2 linked regions of the Rattus norvegicus genome follow. Each later gene encodes a partner of the first gene's protein in a complex. Each region holds a gene or a part of one and is shown on either strand. Other genes may lie near its edges.

Evidence for each region.
Region 2: the proteins of Dlg4 (region 1) and Htr2c are in contact, whole or in part, in an NMR structure (PDB 2MHO), measured with the Rattus norvegicus proteins. Residues at the interface, in NP_062567.1 of Rattus norvegicus: Gly74, Leu75, Phe77, Ser78, Ile79, Ala80, Asn85, Pro86, His87, Ile88, Thr97, Lys98, His130, Val134, Leu137, Lys138; in NP_036897.2 of Rattus norvegicus: Val452, Val453, Ser454, Glu455, Arg456, Ile457, Ser459, Val460.

The regions. Positions count from the first base shown.
Region 1 is NC_086028.1:55,238,505-55,242,104, forward strand, and holds the start of Dlg4 (disks large homolog 4), read left to right. Parts: upstream 1-1,279; 5' UTR 1,280-1,335; coding exon 1,336-1,365; intron 1,366-3,600. UniProt on the Homo sapiens protein: Postsynaptic scaffolding protein that plays a critical role in synaptogenesis and synaptic plasticity by providing a platform for the postsynaptic clustering of crucial synaptic proteins.
Region 2 is NC_086039.1:115,451,799-115,455,618, reverse strand, and holds the start of Htr2c (5-hydroxytryptamine receptor 2C precursor), read right to left. Parts: upstream 2,430-3,820; 5' UTR 2,215-2,429; intron 1-2,214. UniProt on the Homo sapiens protein: G-protein coupled receptor for 5-hydroxytryptamine (serotonin).

The DNA of each region.
Region 1 (3,600 bases):
GGGTCACCTGTTATAGGTTCTAGGCTGGTTGGAATCCTGCAGAGCCCCTAGTCCAGGCTCTTGCTTTTGTGGTCATCCCACTGTGTCCCAGCAGCATCCATCCTAGCTAGAGGAACTTGTCTCTCAACACACAGAGCCATGGGTAGCAGGGGTGGCCAGAGGGGCCTGAGGTTTGGGAGGTGACTTAATTCTGTTCCTGTGACAGACATCCTGGACTATTATGAGGCTTGCATCTTAGAGAGTCAGGTAAGGTGATGATGGTGGGTGCCTGGCTTCCTGACTGCTCAAGCTGGCAGGACTGGAGGGATGAGGACGTTCTTGCTAATTTTAAACTGAGACTTAGGGGCCTTGGCAACAAAATCCCTAGTACTGACTGAGGAGTCGGGGGCACTGACAGTGCTCTTTCTGTGGGCAGCCAGCCCTGTACCCTTTCTCCGTTCTCCCCTTTCTTGGCTTGCCCCAATTTCAGCACCAGAAAGTCCAGGTCATAATTAATTACTTTTCAGACTTCTTCCTGTGACTCCTAGGGGAGAACTAGGTCCCCAAGGTTCTCTAATGTTAGCCCCTCCCTCAGCCCCGTACCCCGTGGTGTGGCCTCCCTCCAGCACTCAACCAGCCAGGGATGCTCTCATCTCAGATGTGGGCCTTTTCCCTCTAAGGAATGAAATCCGTCCTCGTCTTTAATGTCATCATCGAGGTTAGCCAGGTCTCCATGTTTGCCGTAGGGCCTCTCTGCTTGTGCTTCTATCTCCTTTCCCATTATCCGGGTTCCTGCCAGCAGTGAAGGAGTTAACACTGCCAAGGCACCCCCCCATTCTGGCTCCTAGCTCCCTCCCTCCCTCCCCCTGCTTCCTCTCTCCTCCTCTCTCCCCTTCCCTCCTCGGCTCCGCGGCTACATCGGCCGCTGCCATCTCCAACCCCCCCCACCCCACTCCCCCGCCACGGCCCCTAGCCCCTGGCCGTTTGGCAAGACCCCCGCATACCCCGGGGCTTCCCGAAATCCAGATCCCCTCCCCCACCCCAGCTCATGCCCCAGCCCCAGAACTCCGGGGCTGCCAGCCCCCTGTGCCCCTGCCCCTCCTGAGAATCGGGGTGTGCTCCTCAAGCCCCCTCCCCTCCACTGGGGAGCCCCCTTTAGGGTCCCCCCTCCCTTCCACGCTCCCCTACCCTTCTCTTCTCCAACCTTCTCCTTCCCCTCTCACCCCTCCCCCCATCCTGGCCCCCCCTGCAAAAGTGGGGTGCGGAGGGGGGAGGGGTGAGAACCCACCGAGGGGAGGAACAAAACTCCAATGAAGTCAGAGCCCCCTACTCGCCGCCGCGGCCAGGCCCCCCAACATGGACTGTCTCTGTATAGTGACAACCAAGGTAAGCATGATGGGGGGAGCAGTGGGGAGGGGGAGTAGGTAATGAATTTGTGGAGAAGGCTTAGGTAGGCCTTATCTAGGGTTGCAGGCACTGAAGTGAGCGCATCTAAAGTAAGATGTATTAGAGGGGTCACAATTTAGTTTTGGGGTTCACATCTGAGAAAACGATGGATTTGGTCCACAGGTGCCTCCTGGAGTGATCATTTTGTACCTATAAAGAAATGGAGAATTTGATTTGGTGTTTGGGGTGTCTTGGTGGGCTCTGGTGTTCATCAGCAGTGTTTTGAGGGCAATTTATTTAAGGAGAAGCCCGCCTGCCTCACATGGGAGTTCTGCTCATATATGTGGGAAGGTGGGCTATGTGAGTGTGTTAGGGGGAGGGTTGTCTTCCTTCCTGGGCAAAAAAGCTCATTTCAAGATGCTGACCAATTGACCAATTTTGGGGGGGTGTCTCTTGGCATAAGGGTAAAGGTTACTGGTTGTGTCTGGCTTGTCTGGCTGTGTCAACTAGCAGGTAAGGGTGGGCCTTCAGGTAATAAAACATCTTGTGCTAGACATGTTTGAGATGCTCCTGATTTGAGGGAATTGTACATTTAGGGTTTAATTATGTGGAATAGAGTGAGTGACCTGGGAGTTTCCAGAGGGCTGAGGCCTGATGCAGCCTTACCTGAGAGAATGGACCAGGTGGGATTAGGATTCAGGGTACTCCCATGGGAGCTAGAAGGTTGCAAAGCTGAGGTTGTCATCTCGTAAGAAGGATGAGAGGTGTGGGGTAGGAGGATAAAAAGAAGGTAGTTGAGGAGGGGGACCATGTGGGTGGTACAAAATTTGGGGGTAGCCCAGGCAGGTGCCCACTATTCCCATCTCCCACATTTTATCTAGCCTTGGTCAAGAGAACAGAATAGCAGATGGGGAGGGGGGCTGTTACCCTGACGCTTGAGAGGACACCTGGATCTAAGGGTCTCTGAAGGCTTGTGAGGTGAAGAGGCCACTGGGGTAAAACGGTATAGAAAGAGGGCAGGGCTGGCGGAACTGGGATCCATACAGGGTACAAGGGTGTCCCTGTGGTCAGAGCCTGGAAAGAGTGGGAGATCTGGGATGAAAGCCCAAGAAGCTTAGGTCGGTCGCTTGCTCCCAGACTCTGGGACTGGCAGGCTAGATGCCTGGTGTGAGGAGGGAGGCTTGGGCGGGCGGCAGGCAGCTGGGGGTTGGGGGGTGGGACAGGAAGTGGGGGCCGGGGGAGGCGGGGTCCGGGTGAGTCACAGGCTGGGGAGGGGGTTATATTTAGTGGGAACTGCAGCTTCTTATGGAAGGAAGCTGAGGACACACATGTTCCTTGCCACAAACTCACACATGTGTATACACATGCATTGTGCACGTGTGAACATGATTAGAGATTGGGGACTGAAGATTTCAGGTCTGCATCCTTTACCCCATCTACAGGGCTGGTTGTTTTTCTCCTGGTCTGTGGATTTTGGGCTTTCTTCCAGGCTGCTGCTTCTCTTATCCCCCGTAGTTTTCAGTAGATTTTTGTGCCTCGGTTCTTCTAGCCCTCTTTCAGTCAGTGTCTGCCTGTGTTCTTTGTGCCTTCTGTCCTTAGGCCTAATCCCTGGCCTTGGCAACCTAGCTGTCATCACCTTTGTACTGATGTATATAGGAACTCATTGGAATGTGTGAGTTCTCCTTCTAACATGAACACATGAAATCCAATAAGGGTGAGGGGCTTAGTAGCACTGGTAGCTATTCTGAGTGGATGTGTCTATTCATTTCTCTGCTCCAGTTTTCAATGTGTTCGATGGAACACATGATTGAGCAACCCTGAAGGTAGGAGGCTTGCCTAGAGGATCATGTATTCAGGTCTTACTGAGGTTTGGAGACCCATGTTTGCAACATTCATTGGTCAGAAAACTTGTCAGCCTTAGATGGAGGGACTCCAACTCCCATAAGGCCTTGAGGTACAAGATCCTTCAATAGTAGAGCGTCGTGGTCCACAGGACTGTTGGGAGTTGTGGTTCCTCTCTATCCAGGCCAGTTGAGGGTGGCCCAGGAGAAACCAGCAGGGGGCACATGGCTTCTGCCCTCCGAAAATGCTGGGGAGTGGGATTGGGAGTGCTCAGCCTTTGTAGTCACTGAGCTCTCCTGGTCTGTTTGACAGCCTTCCCATTTTTCGTTGCCTATATTTATAAATTGCTGCAGTAATTTAAGGAACATTTTTGAATACTTAATATATGTTCAG
Region 2 (3,820 bases), on another chromosome or scaffold:
CAGGAAAAACCCAAATGACAACAGAGAAAGGGTTAACAGGTCTCTCTCTATTTTGCAGATAGAAAAAGTCTAAATACCCCAAATCCTACCTTGACATTGAAACCACAAGCTTTATTCACCTTCTGACTTTCAGGACTTACTTGAGTTGGGCTTACTTCTGTAGATGATAGGTGCTATTGGGAGAGAAATTATGTGCACATTGCAAGTATTTTTTTTCACATTCCCAAAGGACCAGAAAAACAAGTTTACCGAATGAAAATCCTATGATCTACTTGCTATAGGGTGGGGTTGAGAGCTATAGTTGATTTCCCAAAAGAAAGGTGCCAAAAATTATATTCCTCTTAAAGGCCAGTGTGTGTGTGTGTGTGTGTGTGTGTGTGTATGCCTGTGTGTGTGGGTATGTGCACACGCGTGCCTGTGTGTGTGTGACCTTGCACGTTCGTGTGTGTGTGTGTGTGCCTGTGTGTGTGCCTGTGTGTGTGCCTGTGTGTGTGGGTATGTGCATGCTCGTGCCTGTGTGTGTGTGTGTGTGTGTGTGTGTGTGTGTGACAGAAAGAGATGCTGAAAAAGAAGTGAAGAAATTATTTTCTGTGGAGCAAGTTAATTGCTGTTTCTCATTATCCTTACAGGTGTAAAGACTCCAGGTGACAGTTTATGTAAAATGAATTAATGTTTTGTTTGTCAGAGTATATGATTTTTATATATACATATATGCATATATGTATTTATGTGTATCTATGAATGCATATTATAAATACAAATTTCTTAATGAAAACATTTAAAGTCTGTCTTGGTCCCACATTTTTTTTCACCACTCTTTTATGTGAGGTCATGATCATCTGCAACAGACTGGGAGTGCAGAGATTACTCACTGCGCAACATTTTCTCCCCCCCCCCCACCTCCCTGCAACATCGTAGTTCAATCCCATTTTCCCCAATGGACATTTTCCTTGCTTAGCAAGGAACAAGGTAATGTATATGGTACAAAGTATATGGTGAGGGGCATAAGCATTAAGAGAAACAGCTAAGATTTCCTTGGATGGGATTTACACAGGTAGATATTAATGAAGAACCTGCCAAGCACTGGCAGTGATTCTGAACTAAATTAAATATCCTTCAACTGCAGAATGTCGCCTGCTGTGTTTGTTGGAGTGGGTGCCTGTCAATTAAAATAAGGGGTCTGTCTCCATCACAGTGTGAAGTGTCTTAGTCACCTAGTACCATCTAACAGGAAGCAAGACGCAAAGGGCTCGGCGCAGAAAAGAAACAGACACAGAGACATGTTTTGCAATGACGAACTTTATGTCGCACCAGGAACCAGCAACCTGTTCATGTTTAGCAATTCCGTGGTATGCTGTTAACACTGCTTGTCAGGTTAAGCTGAGCAAAGAGACGGGATAAGAGGCAGCCTTGAAGACTTTTCCATAGTCCTTTTTAAAATATAAAACTGTCACCAAAATGACTTCGGGAAGCTAATAAAAAGGCTCGCCGGATACCCTTAGACTATCCTCTTAAACTTACGTGACCATCAGCAACGCTGTTCAAATTCAGCCAGCAGCTGTTAGACCAAGACATAGATCCGCAGTGTGTTATCTCCCAGAGTTACGAGTGTTCCCTGAGACCCGCCGAAAATGAGGGTCGGTTTCAACGAGAACATAATAGAGATCATTTGCAATCCCCCCAGCCCCGCTCCCATTACTTCGAGCCCTGAGCCCCCTCCCACTTAGTCAGAGTCCGATTTCTTAATAAGGTGAACAGTTAGCATCCCCCTACTGGATTGCACCCTTCTCAGTCCAACCCCTCGACCAGAGACCCCTACGTTCAGTTTTACTCCTCCTCCTTCCCACCCTTCCCTGTTCTCCTCCCCCTCCCCTTACTTCTTGAGACCCCACCCCAGTCTTACTCTCACAGCTTTCCCTGAACGCGAGGGTCTCTAGATCCTTGCCTCCCTCTAGCGCCTACATCTCGAGTGCTGTCCTCCAACCTCCTCCAGACTCTGGGGTTGCATTACAGAAGCCTGCGTTCTTGTCTCCTTTCAGAGACCCCCACCACCCCGCGATTTGAGCGCTCTGAGTCGCTTCTCACCACCCTTCCCGAACCAGTGCGGTCCTCCAGGCTGCAACCATCCGGGACCTGTCCATGCTCCCCGACCCCATCCTCCGCCCAAATCTTTAAGGTCTGCGCTAGCAATGTCGCCCGGGGGCTCCAACTTACCGCTAGCGTCCGGGAGGAAGACCAGGCAGGTCGCCGCGGCGGCAGCTAGACGAGAAACGGACTCGGCTGCAATCGCCCAGCGGAGCCCGCGGCAGTCAGTGCGCTGCTCAGCGCTGCGCGCCGCAACCTTGCGTCTCAGCAGACGGAAAGAAGGATGGAGGGAGCTCGGCGCGAAGGACAGCGCCGGCAAGTCGACCTCCTGTGGGCAACCTGCGCCCCCCGGAAAGGTTTGGCTGGGGATTGTTTCACTACCCTACTCTAGCATAGTAACTGACACCTCCAGCATCTCCGCGCCAATCGCTTCTTCTTTCTTCTTTGAAGGCCCCTAACTAACTACACTATTCTAAGCGGACGAAGACCACCACCGGAGCACCACGACGATCTCCACGACGCCGACGACAATCGATGTGCAGAACGAAGAAAAGTTCATATGTAATAGGAAGGTAAGGGATAGACAGGCCAAAGGAGCAACCAAGATTAACAATCTTGCTGCTCCAAGGGCTCAATCATTAAGATCGGTACACCTAAGGAAGCTTCCTCAGTGAGCACCAGAGCGCCTACCCAGAGCTGGTGAGGCTGCACCGGGCTCTTAGGCAAAACCAGGGATGAGGGGAGGAGTCACGAGGAGCCAAGAAGAGCCAATCAGTGCTCAGGGTTACACTGCTCCGGGCCTGTTTGGACCAGAATCTTTGTGATTCTGGAATCTGCTGGCAGGGGAGCCTGAGACCCTGTGGCGTAGGTGGAGAAGTGATTAATTTGATTCATAAGGTATAGGGACTCGGGGAAACTGAGGTCATTCATGGCAACAGAGAGGGGATGGGAAAATTCTTAAGATCGACCCTCAAAATTTAAACTTTAAACACATACTGCAGAAAGAGAGAGAGAGAGAGAGAGAGAGAGAGAGAGAGAGAGAGAGAGAAAGACAGAGACAGAGAGACAGACAGAGAGAGAGACAGAGAGAGAGAGAGAGAGAGAGAGAGAGAGAGAGAGAGAGAGAGAACAAGACACACAAGACAGACAGAGAAAGAGGCACAGAGCATGATGGACATGTAGCGAGAAAAAGAGACAGAGAGGAAAGACACATAGACACATACACGCAGATAGAAATAGAGACAGAGATGGGGGAGGAGGAGCTTTAGTTCCAGGAAGAGACTTTCAAAGTCTTATAAATTTCACTGATTCATAAAACTCCTTTCAGAGGGTCTCCAGTCCGACTGTCATTCTTCTGTCCATCAGGAACAACTGACTCTGACAGGATCAACCATTAAAGGCCACAACTCGGTTTGATGGCCGGATATTTCACCCCAGCCCCTACTCTTAAATTCAAAGAGAGAAAGGGAGCCCCTTGACTTTCAAGACCTTGGAAAACAATTTTTAATTCATTCTTGATGTCACCCCGCACACTCTGATAAGAGCTTAGAAATAAACCTTGAATGTAGTTCATTCGGTTTTCTCTGGGAGCTGAAAATATCTCCAACAGAAATTGGGAGGCACAGTTAGCTGCCCAGCCACTTCAAGGGCTATCAAGGCATAGACACAATAGTCAAGTTAGGGAGAAATAAAAGCTCTCTTTTGACAACTGCCCATACACTCAGCTGCAAGCCGG